Linked DNA regions of Sus scrofa. Each later gene encodes a partner of the first gene's protein in a complex. Links are inferred from orthologs where the notes say so. Each region holds a gene or a part of one and is shown in the gene's direction. Other genes may lie near its edges.

Evidence for each region. The genes of interacting proteins can lie anywhere in the genome.
Region 2: the proteins of ACSS1 (region 1) and SIRT3 are in contact, whole or in part, in a crystal structure (PDB 3GLT), measured with the Homo sapiens proteins. The link is inferred for Sus scrofa from reciprocal best matches to the Homo sapiens genes ACSS1 and SIRT3. Residues at the interface, in NP_115890.2 of Homo sapiens: Ser640, Gly641, Lys642, Val643, Met644, Arg645; in NP_036371.1 of Homo sapiens: Gly145, Ala146, Gly147, Thr150, Pro151, Asp156, Phe157, Arg158, Ser159, Glu177, Phe180, Gln228, Asn229, Ile230, His248, Ile291, Val292, Phe293, Phe294, Gly295, Glu296, Pro297, Leu298, Gly319, Thr320, Ser321, Leu322, Glu323, Val324, Glu325.

The regions. Positions count from the first base shown.
Region 1 is NC_010459.5:30,835,407-30,843,108, reverse strand, and holds the start of ACSS1 (acetyl-coenzyme A synthetase 2-like, mitochondrial), read left to right. Parts: upstream 1-3,347; 5' UTR 3,348-3,393; coding exon 3,394-3,679; intron 3,680-7,702. UniProt on the Homo sapiens protein: Catalyzes the synthesis of acetyl-CoA from short-chain fatty acids. Acetate is the preferred substrate. Can also utilize propionate with a much lower affinity. Provides acetyl-CoA that is utilized mainly for oxidation under ketogenic conditions.
Region 2 is NC_010444.4:43,774-50,915, reverse strand, and holds part of SIRT3 (NAD-dependent protein deacetylase sirtuin-3, mitochondrial), read left to right. Parts: intron 1-1,479; coding exon of another isoform or gene 1,480-1,621; coding exon 1,622-1,668; intron 1,669-1,775; coding exon 1,776-2,008; intron 2,009-3,364; coding exon 3,365-3,465; intron 3,466-7,142.

The DNA.
Region 1 (7,702 bases):
CCAGCCCCTCAACTTTTAATTCTCTGTGTGTCAAAATACAAGACTTCTCAGCCAGAACTGCCACCATTCTCAGAAGCTACGGGACCAACATCTGTCAGACTGTTTCTAGTTGCACTGGAGTCCAGGATAGAGCTGGTTTGCGGGGAGCTGGCTGCAAGAGCTGTGCTGGGGTGGGGACAGGGGACGGGACAGGATGGACAGTGCCTCTCGAGCTGGGCAGGGGCAGTTTGCTGAGTTGGGAGCCGGGCGGGAGGGCACACGGGGTGTGCGTGCTTACTCCCGAGGATCTGGTGTCCAGTGTTCCAGGCGGAGGCCCCTTGTTGGAGCCATGAACACAAGCCTCCCCATGCATCCTCACTGCCACTGAGGTCATGGGGACACTGGGAAATGGGGACACGGGGCCAGGAGCCTGACACCCTGTGTTGCCTGTCTCAGAACCCCTGAAGCGGCAGGGTCTGCTTTTCCTCTGACCCACATCTAGGCTCTCAGTGTGGATTTTTCGTTTTGGTTTTGCTTCACATTTCAGTCATTTGAGCTGGTATCTGTCTCACTGCAGCCTTCCCCCCTCCCCACCCCAACCCCAAGTTGTGACCTTGGGCTCAGGGCTGTGTTTGGTTCATCCTTGTTGAGCTGACAGCCTCCACACAGGGCCATGCACACAGGAGGGGCTCCACAGACACCCTGTCACTGAGGGTCGGTGGGAGAGTGAGGGCAGCAGGGCAGAGAAGCAAGGACGTCTGGCAACTCAGTGCGGGCCTGCCTGGGGGGACTGGTGGGTCTTGGGGATGATACCCACAAAGCTGCTTCTTAGAGGGGTCCAGGGCTGCAGCTCCCAGCACTGTGGGAGGGAGGGCCTAGGAAGGGCAATGCCCTAAACTGTTAAAGCTGTGAGCGCTGGAGGCCCCTTCCGGCTGTGTGGCCTTGGGTGGGAGTATCTCCTGTTTTTTCCCTTTGTACAATGAGGACCAGAGTATCCTTCTCCCAGGGTTGTGAGGATCACTGTTTCCAACTTGAACATCAGGCTTGAGGTACAAAGGAAGCCCAGCTCCGGCAGAAACTCTCCCAGGCTTCCTACTTCGGCACCTGCTGAGGTCCAGCTTTCTGCACACACTGAAGACCCTGCCCATCTTAGAGGCACAGGCATCCATGACCAGCACTGCCTGGCCAGCAGCAGCTCCCTCAGAACGGGAGGACCGGTGGGAAGCAGCTCTCTGGCCATGGTCGTGGCCAAACGCGTGGTGCAGTGTGGCTCCACCTGCTGTAGTTCCCAGAAGGTGGCTTCTAGGAGGCAGCTGGTGGCCTTGGCTTCAGTGGCCTCAGCTTGGGTAGCTTGGGCTTTAGGAAGTGCAATTCTGTGCCACTTGGATGGTTCCGCAGTTTTCTGAACACACAATCACCTCTCTTTATCCAACTTGAAGGAAATGCCAGCTTTGTGCTCCTTTATTTTAAAGTATTGTCAGTTCTATGTACTTTTTCCATTGTTCTCTCCAAGAATCTCTTCCTCCAGAAGGCTCGACACTTCCAGCATGGGGCTGGGTTCCAAGAGCACAGGGGCTGCAGCTGTGATCTTGTGGGGTCTGGACCTGGGACAGTGGGAATGGCAGTGCTTGCCCACTTGTGGGGGACACAGACTCTTCTTGTAGGGGAGCCTCTTACATCAGGGAGTGAAGTGTTAGCGGCCATCTTTGGGGACAACTCCCCCCACCCCTGGGCCACAGTTAAGGTCTTTCTCTGTTGCAATTTACTTAATCTATTTAAAATGATGATTTAGGCCAAGTGAGGGGGATATTGAGGTGGGAGTGGGTGTGCTGGCACCACGTGCTTTTTAGCAATTCTGTTTATTTCTCTCTGCTCAGTGAGTCCCTTGTTCCACTTGAGAGTTGAGAGTTGGCAGCACTTGATAGCACTAGATAATTTTTTTTTTAAAGCACCTGTGGCATATGGAAGTTCCTGAGCCAGGGGTTGAGCCACAGCCACTGTAGAAGCAATGCTGAATAGTTATGTCGTGAGCCACACGGAAAGTCCAGAACCAGATAATTTTTAAATTAAGTAAAAATTGCAAGTAAATGCTCAGCACAGAGCAGGACCCATGTCTAGTGCTAGCTGTTATCACTGGTTTCCCAGCCTTAAAAAGCAGTAGCAGGAGGGTGAGCACACACACACACACACACACACACAGGCACACAGGCACACGTGCTGGGGCTGACTGACAGCACAAATACCTCCTACTGCTAACAGGAAGGGATCTATGCTAAACCCAAAGCACTCGACCAACCAGTTTTCAAAAATCCCCTCTCCCTTCTGTTTACATTACATGTTTACTTTGTGTGCTTGTTGTAATATTTAAGAGTCTAGTTGCCACAAGTTTCTGTGGGTTTCCCACTATCTTTCCCAGCTTGACAACAGGAACACAGCCTTCACTACTGGGTCCCCTGGGAGACCCTCCTCCCCCCAGGGAGACATTACTTTTGTTTACCTCCCCAGGGCTGCTTAAAGAATAAACGAGTCGGCGTCTGAAATGTGCAGCCTGGAAGGGGTAACCAGGGAACTCAGTAGTGGAGTCGGTGTAGGCACAGAGGGGTTAAGGAACTGGTCCCGGGATACAGAGCTAGAAACTTCAGATTTTGACCTCAGGCCACAGATGCTGGAGCTGCGCTTGAGAACTCCCACGGTTCCAAATCAATCATGGCTGGTGGAATGTTTGCTTCTCTGCTGTATAAAAGCACCAGATCCCAGACCCAAGGTCTTACAGTCTCCTGGTCCGAGGACCCCTGACCAGCCCACTTAGCCCACGGGGACTACTTGTGTATGTTTTGGGGGAAGGCGTACAGGCCACCCAGGCCGCTCAAGCATTCAATCTCGAGGCCCCACAAAGGGATGAACACTTTGCTCTCAGCCTCTGAGATGCTGAACCGACCAAACCTGACGAGTGGTCCTTGGAGCAACTTGTGCGCCTCGCTCCGCGGGTCACTAACATCTGTGCCGGCTCCCTCCCACCCGCGACGGTTTCCAGCTCCCAGGAGAGCCTGCATTGCCCGCGCAGATCTGCGGTTGACAAAACGGCGCAGCCGTCGGAACTCGTCGGGGACGCATCAACTGAAACCCCGGCAGCCCGGCAGGGGACCCCCTCCGCCGCCGCGCTCCCAACTCCACTTCCACAGGGGCTCCACCTCCCTTCGCAGCCCAGCTCTGCGTGGGGTGAAGAGGGGTGGGACAGGGCAGGGCGGAGGGGGGGGCGGTGGTCAGAGGCGGAGCGGGGGCGGGGAGTGTCGGGAGGCAGCTTCAGACAGGAGGGGCGGGGGGCGGGGCGGGGCGGGAGGCGGGGCGGGGCCGAAGCGGGGCGCGGGCGCGCGAGGGCTGGGTCGCCACAGCCGCGAGGGGCTCTGAGGCGCGATGGCTGCCCGTTGCTTGGGCTGCGGCGTCGGGCGGCTCCTGGGCGGCCTTCGCGGGGTGGGGGCTCGGGGCCCCGGGGTCCCCCGTCTCTGGAGCAGCGCCCCCGCCGCGCCGCCCGGCTCTTATCAGGAGCGGATCGCGCTGGCCGCGCGCGAGCCGGCCGCCTTCTGGGGGCCGCTGGCGAAGGACGTGCTCGTGTGGGACACCCCCTACCACACGGTGAGCGACTGCGACTTCCGCAGCGGCAAGATCGGCTGGTTCCTGGGAGGCCAGTTAAATGTGTCCGGTGAGTGGGCTCGGGGACCCTGGCGCCCGAGCTCGGCGACGGCTGCCGCACTCGCCCCCTCCTCAGCGTTCGGGCGTGCGGCGCCGTCACCCCGCCCCCACCCACCGGCCCAGCCCGGCCCACTCCCCTGCCACCCGGCCGGCACCCCCCACGTTGAACGGGGTCCCGGCGCCCCATGCCGTGCGCGCCCGCGGGAGGCAGTGAGACGCCTGCGCCGAGCGGGGGTGGAGGGCGCGGGGACCCCGGAGCCGGACTTCCTGCTCCCGTCCCGGCGGGAGATAGCACCGAGAAGCTTTTGGCTGTTGCCACCGCCAGGTGCGGGCCGGCGACTCGCTTGGGGAGCAGCCCTGCCCGTGTAAACAAATCGAGCTGTGGCGGGTGGCCGAGGAGGAGAGCCCCGCCAGTAGCCAGAATCGACCCGTAGCCGGAATCGGCTCGCAGCCGGGAAGGAAGCAGTGGTGGGGCCTCCCAGTTCTCAGTTTCACCTTCGCCCGGAAGACCCACGGCGCTGGCTTTAGTCCCGGTGCGTTTGGGACCCCAGAAACCAGCTCCACTGCCCGTCAGTCCTCGGGTCTCTGCAGAGACTGAATCCCGCCACGCGCTGTCAGGATTTGGGATCGGGTAGAGGGGAGAGTAACCCCTTCCCCAGCCCAGCTAGGGGAGAAGGCCCGGGAACTAAGGCTGCGGCCAGCCTGGCAAGGTCTGGCCTGGGTGTGGGCAGCCGGGCAGGGTGGTCAGAGGGGAACGGGGAAAGGTAAGTGGGGTCTGGGTTGTTTGAGGAAAGGAACTGTAGGTCTTCATGACCAAGGCCTGAATTGGGAAGTGGGGGTCTGAGTCTCCCAGGCTCCACCATCTACTGGCCCAGTTGCTCTGTACCTCTGAGCCTCAGTCTCCTCCTGGGTAGACTGGGGGTGGTAATGCCCACCTGAAGGGGCTGGTTGTAAGGACAAAGTACGCAGAAGTATGGACCGGTCCCAGCACTTATTGGCGATTAATAAATAGTAGTAATTTTAACTCATAAAATTCAGAAATAGCCGTAAAATAATAGCTAGTATCTTTCAGTTATTTTTCAAACAGAGACACTTAAGAGAACTTTGGACCAGATTTTTTTTTCATATTGTGTATTGTTTTACTGGTTTAATCAAAATGACTCACTTAGTAGATAAGCGTTTTCTCTAAAACTGAGTCAGCAGCAAGTGTCCTTGAACTAGTGGGAAAACCCCCAAACCCTTGGATGTGCAGGGTTGGAGGAACGCGCCCTGGATGGGGAGAGATACGTGCAGAGGCAGGGGCAGGAGGCTGCAGTTGCTTTGGAAGCTGCCTTGGACTTGGGAGACTGAGGCTGCTGGGACATTCAAGGTTGGCTCCTGAGCACTTGCTACCTCTCATGCTCAGATAAGACTGGGGACGGGTCTCATGGGACAGGCAGGCAGAACCTCATGAGCCTCACTCTGTCAGGGTCAGGTCCAAGATGTGGTCAGTGCTCAACTCTTCCACCTTTTTTCCTACACTTATTTCTCCCTATGGCTCCCTTAGCAACTGAGCTTCAGAAAGCTGTCACATAGCAAAAGAGCTTTTCAGCTGTGTTCTTACCCCAAATGCGTATGCCACCCACTCATCTATCAGGAATATCTCTGCCCTCCGCCACGTCTGTACATCACAGAGGCGATGGTGTGAAAAAGGACCAGGCCAAGCCATGGCTGCCCTGGGAGCCGCTAGAAAGCTGTGGGCTGGATAGGGTGTTTTGGCATGAGCTGTGTGTGTGACAGTCGTGTGATGATAGCTCATTCCAGACACGTCATGTGAAATTCCCTTTACCCCTCCAAGATCTGTACCTGAGTTCTCAATGTGTGGTTCCCGGACAGGCAGCAGCAGCATGATCTGCAAACTCTTTAGAAACACAAGTTCTCAGGCCCCATCCTAGGTGGCCAGAACCAGAAACCCTCCAGGGGCTTCTGATACACACTTGAGATTGAGAACCACTGCCCTGTGTCTGAGCAGGTCAGGTGGAGACACTGCTGAAGTGGGCAGAGTGTCCTGGAGAGGACGGATGACTAGTAGTGCTTCATGGGTGGCACCGAGCATGTCTTTGGACTCACCCCTGGGTTTGAAGCCTTGCCTTTTCCTGACTGTACTTTCCTGCATCTCCCCAGGTGTAGCATGAGGATAGTGTATAAATGAATTGTGTCGCAGTTCCTATCATTGTCATTTTATTAGTCACTTGCAGATTCTATGGGTCAGGACTTTGGACAGGGCTCGAAGGGCGTGGCTGCCTCTGCTCCTGTCATCTGGGGCTCCTGTCTTCACCTGCTGCTCACTCCCATCTGGAGTGGCGCCGACTGCTGCTGCCCACTGGGCTCAGCTGGACTGTGGCCCAAAGCATCTCCCAGGGGCTTTTCACAGGGTGGAGGCTGGGCCCAGGGAACATTGGCAACCTGAGATCCCTGAGACCAAAGCAGAAGCTGCTAGGCTTCCTAGCAGACCAGGGGCATGTGACCTGGGACACCTGGGGCTGCTATTGACATTGAGTTAGAAACGCTTGTAAAGCACTCTGCACTGTCTTTAGAACATTCCTGGTGCCCAACCACTGGCCTTTGTTATTTATTAATGAATCCTGGGGGATTGGGGAGAGGGGAGAGGCTGTGACCTTGAACCTGGCCTTGGGTAGGTTCAGCTGAGCCTGCTGTGCTTCCTATGAACAGTGGGGCGGGGACCTAATGGGAAGCAGAATGGAGCTCCCTCCCAGGTGGCTGAGGGGAGAGTCTGTCCTGCAGCCCCAGGAGAGCCAGGCCTGTGGAGGGGGTTGTAGCATCAAAGGCCCCAGGGGCAGAGAGGTAGAGTTGACACCCCTCAGTGACGTGCTTCTGTTACACTTATGTTATGCTTTGCATAAGGTTCTGCAGAAAGCCCCATTCTGAACAAGATTCGTACAGTCTTTGAAGTTTGCCTCTTTCCCTGTAGGTCTCAACAGATGTCTTTGCTCTGTCAGATGTTAGGAAGTTGCAAATGGAGAGCTGGAGGGTAGTGACGTGTTGCTTTCAGAACACAAAACTAAACTATTTTGGGTCTGGTTTTGAAAAACAAGTATGTGTCTTCTTACTTTCAAGCTTGGAGGTTTGGGGGAACATTCGTTGCAGCAGGGGAATCATTTTGCTCTAGCTCTGTCCTCCTTGACAAGCCTCAAGTCCCTTGGACGGCAGACACACTGAGCCGGCAAGATCCTGCCTCCTGGGCTGTGTTTCCTCGCAGCAGCTGGAGGAGCTGTCAAAGGTCCTTGAAGGAGCTCTGAGTGGACACGTGACCTCAGGTCTTAGGGGGAGGGTCCGTCAGAGGAGCCCAAATCCTCTCCAGTGGTCAGAGGCACGACTCCTTTAAATAGCTAATGCTTCTGGAAAGTTGGCAAATACAATTTTTATGATTGATGCAATACCTTAAAATGTGCCAGGGAGGTTTTCTATTTAAAGAAAACCCATTGTGATTTCTTTTGTGAATATTAACTGCCTCGTTTCTTTGGATTAAAATTGAATTTCTATAAAGTGGGGAGGGGCAGGGATGCCTTTAAACAGCTGGCTAGAATTTGTTGAATGAGAATTCTTGCTTTCATGTGTACCATTTTATGATGGAAATGATAACACACACTAGCAGGCATTTGCTTACCTGCTTGCAGAGTGGTGTCAGGCCCAGTGCAGACCTGCCCCTGGGTCAGTGTCATGGTGCTTCATCTCACATCACCCTCGTGACAGCAACGTGAAGTGTTGGGTGGCTCCATTTTACAGATGTGGAAATAAAGGCCCCAACTCAGGCATGGTGGGAATGGGGCAGAAAATGCTCCGTGCCCCCAGCCTGCCTTCTAGGGAGGAGCTGGACCACAGATCAATGAAGAGACAGATCCACGCTGGGTAATGTGCTGCAGGTTACAGCTGCCAAGGGGAGAATTAGGATGTCTGCCCATTGTCCCTTGCCCCCTCTCCTGATAAGGAATCTTAGGAATCTGGGACCTTGTGACCCAGGTGGAGGAGGGTT
Region 2 (7,142 bases), on another chromosome or scaffold:
GGAAGGGAGGGGTCTGTGAGAGGGTCATTGGAGTGGAATGTTGTGCTGAGATATCAGGGTGCCATCAGGGGCAGAGGGTGCCAGGGAAACCTCAGCAGCAGCGTGTAAGCAGGTCGGCCTGTGCAGATTTTGCAGGAGCCAAAGAAAAACCAAAGACAAAGAGCAAACAAGAGGGAGTTAGGATCACACTCCTGGAAGATAAACTGAATTGTCCTCACGTGTATCGAAGATGTGCTTTCAGGGTGTTTATTTCCTGCCTGTATCACACAAGAGTAAAAGAAATACTCTGAAATACTCTGTTTCCTGTGTTTATGTCTGTCTTCTCTTTAGATTGATCAGTCAGTTGGGGAGAGTGTCAGTTCAGCTGGTTTAATCTCTTTTCCTGTCAGGGTTCAGGGGTTCATACTGAGGTCTGATGTCCTGGAGATGGGTCTCCTGAAAGGTAGATGTGGTGGCTGCCGGTCTTTGGGGTATGAGGAAGGTGCCCTGTGCAGTGGGGTTGGTGTCGTGAACTCTGGGCAAGTTGCCAGCGTGGTTCCAGGACCTGAAGAACTTGTCCAGCTCAGCTGGTTGCCGAGCGAGGGCCCCAAGAGCCGATCAAACACCTAGAAGGCCTTTTGGCCCACGCGAGGCTCTAGCTCTCGGGCCCCCGTGCAGGTCTTCAGGTACTGCTCCAGGCTCTGTGCTGTTTGTCTCTGCCCTCTTCCTGGTACTTTCCTGAGCCTTGAGCCCTGATGCCTCCCTGAAGCCTATGAGTTGGGTACCGTGTACCTTGCTCTTTTTTTCTTGTGGAAGAGCATCTCATGCTCCTAACAGTTAACCTTGTGAAGTGTCTCAGCTCCTTGCTTCTGGAGGTGACCTGAAAAGCCTAGAATTTTGCGAGAGACCGAGAGCTGCGGTCTGCCCACTGCCTTGCCTGGGATGTGTGATTTGTTTGGCTGCTGTGTAATATGAGCAGCATCCTGAATGGCTGTGAGTGTGGAAGATGAGGTCTCTGCAGCAGTTTGAATCCCTCGCTGTCAGGATATGAATCTTTCTTTCTGGAATGATCTCTTGAATCCGCTTTTCATCCTGATAATATTTTTGGTGTAAAGTCTGAGACTTTTAACTCCCTTTAAATGTCACTAAGTCTTTGTCATATTCCAGGTATGTTAGGGGGTATGGCTCTGCAGAGCCTGTCCCCAGGGCCCTCACAAAGGGATGCTCCTGGCTCTAGCCTAAGCCTTTAGCACGAGCCTTTGATAACGAGAATTGTGAAATTATTTGCACAGTTCCCATTAACCTGAAAACTTTGCTCCCCAATTCATCTTGATTTGGGAGTTTCTGTTTTATCCCATGATATGGAAGGTGGTCTTTTGGGGGCAGCAGGGAAGTGTGTGGTCATTCTCAGTGCTGCGGGTGGGGAGGTGGGTCTGCTCATTCTTGCTAGTGTGAGCTTGATTATCATTGGTTACCTGGCCACTCTCCTTTTTCTGTCAGTATTACAGGTGGAAGAAGGTCCATATCTTTTTCTCCCGGTGCCTCAGGTGTCTGTGGAAGTGGAGGCAACAGTAAGAAGCAGCTTCTCCTGCAGGACATAGCTGAACTGATTAAAACCAGAGCCTGCCGGCGGGTGGTGGTCATGGTAGGGGCCGGCATCAGCACGCCCAGCGGCATTCCAGACTTCAGGTGCCCAAGCATCCCTGTGCCCCCGCCTGGCCCCCCAGCTGCCCATGGCTTGCTCCACCTCCCTGTTCTCTCCTGAAGGGCTCAGCGCCTTTCACTTCTCTCTGCAGATCTCCAGGGACTGGCTACTACAGCACCCTCCAAAGCTACGACCTCCCCTACCCCGAGGCCATTTTTGAGCTCTCATTTTTCTTCCACAATCCCAAGCCGTTTTTCACTTTCGCCAAGGAGCTGTACCCTGGGAACTATAGGCCTAACACTGCTCACTACTTCCTCCGCCTGCTGCATGACAAGGGGCTGCTCCTGCGGCTCTACACCCAGAACATCGACGGGCTTGAGAGAGGTGAGGCCTCCCTTTGTCCCACACCCTCTGCTCCTGCAGGAGGGCTCAGGGGCCCATTTCTAGGAGGGCTGAGGCCTCGTGTTTATTCTCCATCCTTGTGGCTGATTTTGAGCCAAAAAAGTTGTGCCTTTATCCCCAAGAGAAATGTCCTTGCTGTTTTAAGTGTCACTGTTGGAACCTCATTGGTGGACCCACTTTCTGAGCTTTGATCTTTGGATGGAACTGAAGGTCACAGTGGGAGCTTCTAGTTTTGCTGATCTGATCCGATGATGTATTTTTCTAAATTTTCATTATGGAAACGTTTGCGCAAGTAAAATACAGAGAAGAATGTGACGAACCCTCATGTCCTCATCACCGCACCTTCTCACCTCATCACGGCCAGTCTTCGTACAGTCTGTGCCTGACCCTCCTCCTCTCTCACCCCTGACTGTTTTGAAGCACGCCCCTCCCTTTATAAACTTAATCTATAAATTCAGCAATTGATATTTTTGCTGAAGATAAAGGCCTTTAAAACACAACCACAATATTGTTATCACACAAAGAAATCACTCATAACTGCTTAATATCATCAAACATGGTGTGCGCTGATTTCTGGACTGGAAGGCAGCCACAACCAGTGATTCATGGGTCGTACCGACCTCTGGCCTGGCCGTGTACCCCAGAGAGGCCGTTGTTGGGCCTTTTTCATGCATGCAGTGATACTGACTGGTGCTAACAGTCAGCTCTGAGCAAGTTAGCAGCAGCTCATCGGGCTGCAGATGTCTTGTGATTTGAAGAAAGGGGTTTTCCTGACCTCAGGAAAGTTTATTTGCTTGAAAGACTCTACAGCTTGGAGCCACGTAGGCAGCAGTGACTCCCCCCCAGGAACGCAGCAGGGCTGGCCTTGCGGGAAATCTGGCTTTGAGCTTTGTCATACGCAGAGTTACGGGGTCGGCGGGAAACCGCTGCAGCCAGGACCCGCGGCCTTTCAGAAGCTGCTAGTGGTTACATAACGTTCCTGGTATGTTACCTCCTGTCTGTTTTTCCACAGTTTTTGGAAGTCTATATTATTTTCTCACGTTTACTGGTGTCTGTAGAGTTGAAAACGGTCTCATTGGTGTTGGATGTAAAACTTCACCTGTTTGTGTACTGTTTTCACAGGCTTTGTTTTAACTCTGCTTTGGCTTCACATCAGAGCCTCATCCCTGTGCTCGTTCTGATCAGTGGGGTGTCATCTGTAGGTGATAGAGCCAGGGACATCAGGCTTCCCCTGAGGGCTGACTCCTCCTGGGGGGCCTCCTGAGCCCAGAGGTTATGCTAAGGGGCTTGTGCGCCCACCCCAGAGGCAGCAGCACTTAGCTTTGGTTTGGATTCCAGCGTCTGGCATCCCTGCCTCAAAGCTGGTTGAAGCTCATGGATCCTTTGCCTCTGCCACCTGCACCGTTTGCCGAAGACCCTTCCCAGGGGAGGACTTCTGGGTGAGTTGTGACACTGACGGTTCTCTCCCTTCCGCACTTCTCATTGCGAGTAATATGGGGAAGTAGTTTATAAGCATCATGTCAGAAGGACAACAGAACAGTAATACCGTGAAAATATTTTTCTGTGCTTTTGCATTAGAAAAGTAACATGTGTTTATAAAAAATTAAGGCAATGTAAACAATAACTGTATAGCACCGAGAACTGTATTCGATATCTTGTAATAGCTTATAGTGCAAGAGGATCCAAAAAAGGATACACACACACACCACACACACACACCACACACACACACACACGTATGTAGAACCGAATCACTTTGCTCTATACCTGAAACTAACACAATGTTGGGAGTTCCCGTCATGGCTTAGCAGAAATGAATCTGACTAGCATCCATGAGGACAAAGGTTTGATTCCTGGCCTTGCTGAGTGGGTTAAGGATCTGGTGTTGCCGTGAGCTGTGGTAGGTCGCAGACACGGCTCGGATCCCATGTTGCTGTGGCAGTGGTGTAGGCCAGCAGCTATAGCTCCGATTCAACCCCTAGCCTGGGAACCTCCATATGCCATGGGTGCGGCTGTAAAAAGACGAAAGACCAAGAAAAAAAAAAACAAACCCACAATGTTGTAAATCAATTTTGAAAAATGCTCAGGTCCTAACTCCTGGTACCTATAAATATAACCTGACTGGGCAATAGGATCTTTGCAGATGGGAAAAAAATTAAGGCAGTACAGAAATGTGTAGGGAAAAATGAACCTCCCTTCAACTAGTTCCCGTAGTCAGCTTTTGGCCGTGTGCTGTGTTGTGATCCAGGCCTGAAAAACAGAAACATATGTGTGTATAGTAGCACACATGCAAATTTCTGTGCACCTACACCCACACCCACATACAATTACATTTTTTTTCAGTAATGGGATCATCAGGATTAATATTGTACAGTTTGCTTTGTTGCAGAGCAGTTTCATGACTATCTTGTGCCAGTAACTGCAGCTCTGCTTACGGTTCTTGGTCACTAGAGAGCATTTAATTTAGTCCTTTACCTGTTTGGGGATATTCATGATATTTGTGATTTTTACTATTAAAAATAATATAGTAGGAGTTCCTGCTGTGGTGCAGTGGGTTAAGAATCCAACTGCAGCCGCTTAGGTTGCTGTGGAGGCATGGATTTTATCCCCTGCCCAGCACAGTGGGCTAAAGGATCCAGTGTTGCCGCAGCTATGGCTTGGATTCAGTCCCTGGCTTAGGAATCTCCGCATGCTCTGGGTGCAGCCATTGAACAAGCCAGAAGCCAGTGATAGTCCAGGCTTACGTCCCTGTGTACCTCTGTGAGTGTTTGTGAGTAGAACAAGTTTTCTAAAGTCGAGTAGGATAGAATGGAAAATCCTAAAGCAAGTTGAAACTCTGAAATATCGATGTGGCGCAGGATCCTGTGTTTTATTTTTTTATTGAAGTGAAAATCACATAACATAAAATTAACCTTTTTTTTTTAGGGCCACACCTGTGGCACATGGAAGATCCCAGGCTAGGGGTTCAGTTGGAGCTGCGGCTCCAGCTCCAGATCCAAGCCACATCTGTGACCTATGCTGCAGCTCTCGGCAACACCAGACCAGATCCTTAATCTACTGAGCAAGGCCAGGAATCGAACCTGCATCCTCCTGGATACTAGTCGGGTTCTTAACCCATGGAGCCACAATAGGAACTGCCTGAAGTTAACATTTTTAAAGTGTACAGTTCATTGGTACTTAATATGTTCAGAGTTGTGCAACCACCACCTCTAATTCCAAAGTATTTTCATCACCTCAAAGGAAAACACCGCACCCACTAGTCAGTCAGTCATCTCCCCTTCCTGCCCCAACCCCTGGTAACCCCTGATCTTTTTACTTTCTCCATACTTTTGCCCTTCCAGAATGTCGTAGAGTTGGAATCATACAGTGTGCTGCCTTTTGCTCATTGGCTTCTCTGACTTAGCATCGTGTATTTAAGGCCCCTCCGTGTCTTTTCATGGCCCGATAGCGCTTTTATTTTGAAGGGTGAGTGATAGTCTGTTGTCTAGATGGAACCGTTTGTTTGTCCCTTCACCTACTGAGGGAGCTCTTGATCGCTTCCAAGCTTTGGCCGTTAGAATGACGTTGCTCTAAACATCCATATGCGGGTTTGTATGTGGACCTGAGTTTTTGGCTGCTTGGGGTCAATGCCAAGGTGCATGATTGCTGGATCGCAGGGTAAGAGTATGCTTATGTTTGTGTCTTCCAAAGTGGCTGCCCCGTTTTGCATTCCCACCAGCAGGGAATGTGAGTCCTCGTTCTCCACATCCTCATCAACACGTGGTGCTGTCAGCGTTCTGATTTTGGCCATTCTAGTAGGTGTGTACTGGTATCTCGTTGTTTTAATTTGCAGTTTCCTAATGATACATGATGGTGAACTTGCTTCATATGCTCATTTGCCATCTGTATATCTTCTTTAGTGAGGTCTTGGGCCAATTTTTTAACTGGGTTGTTCATTTTCTTATTGTTGAGTTTTTTTTTTTGTTTTTTTTTTTGTTTTTTGTTTTTGTTTTTGTTTTTGTCTTTTTGCCATTTCTTGGGCCTCTCCCGCGGCACATGGAGGTTCCCAGGCTAAGGGTCTAATCGGAGCTGTAGCCACCAGCCTAGCCAGAGCCACAGCAACGCGGGATCTGAGCCGTGTCTGCGACCTGCACCACAGCTCAGGGCAACACCGGATCTTTAACCCACTGAGCAAGGCCAGGGACCAAACCTGCAACTTCGTGGTTCCTAGTCGGATTCGTTAATCACTGCGCCATGACGGGAACTCCTTATTGTTGAGTTTTAAGAGTTCTTTGTGGAATTTCCTGGAAGCCTAGCAGGTTAAGGATCCAGCATTGTCACTGCTGTGGCCCAGGTGGGAACTTCCATATGCCAAGGATGTGGGCTAAAAAAAATTCTTTGTGTATTTTGGATAATAGTCCTTTATCAGATACATCTTTCGTAAATATTTTCTCCCAGTCTGTGACTTGTTATCTCATCCTCTTGACATTGTCTTTTACTTTTAATGGAGTTTGACTTACTGTATTTTTCTTTCTTGGATCGTCTCCTTCCGTATTGTGTTGTCCATTCTGAGTCTTTTGCTCTCCATATAAACTTGAGATTAAGTCTGTTGCTATCTATTGTCTACAAATTAAAATTTTTTTTCTCTTTGTCTTGGGAGTTTTGCACTTTTAATGTGGCGTGTCTCCATATGGATTTCCTTTTATTTATTCTGCTTTAGATTTGTAGAGCTTTCTGAATCTGTGGTTTGATGTTTCATGTTTGCTAAAAATTCTCAGTCATGATGCCTTCAGACAGTGAATGCTCCACCCACCTCCGGTCCTCTGTGGACCTCGGGTTAAACATCTCTGAGAACATCTCACACTCTGCCCACAGCCCTTGGCCACGCTTCTCTTTGTCCCACCTTGCTCCCCTTTGTGCTGCATTCTGAGTCTTTCTCCTGATCTACTTTCCAGTTTATCAATATTCCATTCTGTCATAGAGGATGAAGCCCTTCACTAAGCTTTAATTTTCAGTATTCTACTTTTTATTACTGGAAGTCCTATCAGGTTCTTTTTCTTTTTTCTTTTCTTTTCTTTTCTTTTCTTTTCTTTTCTTTTCTTTTCTTTTCTTTTCTTTTCTTTTCTTTTCGTTTTTT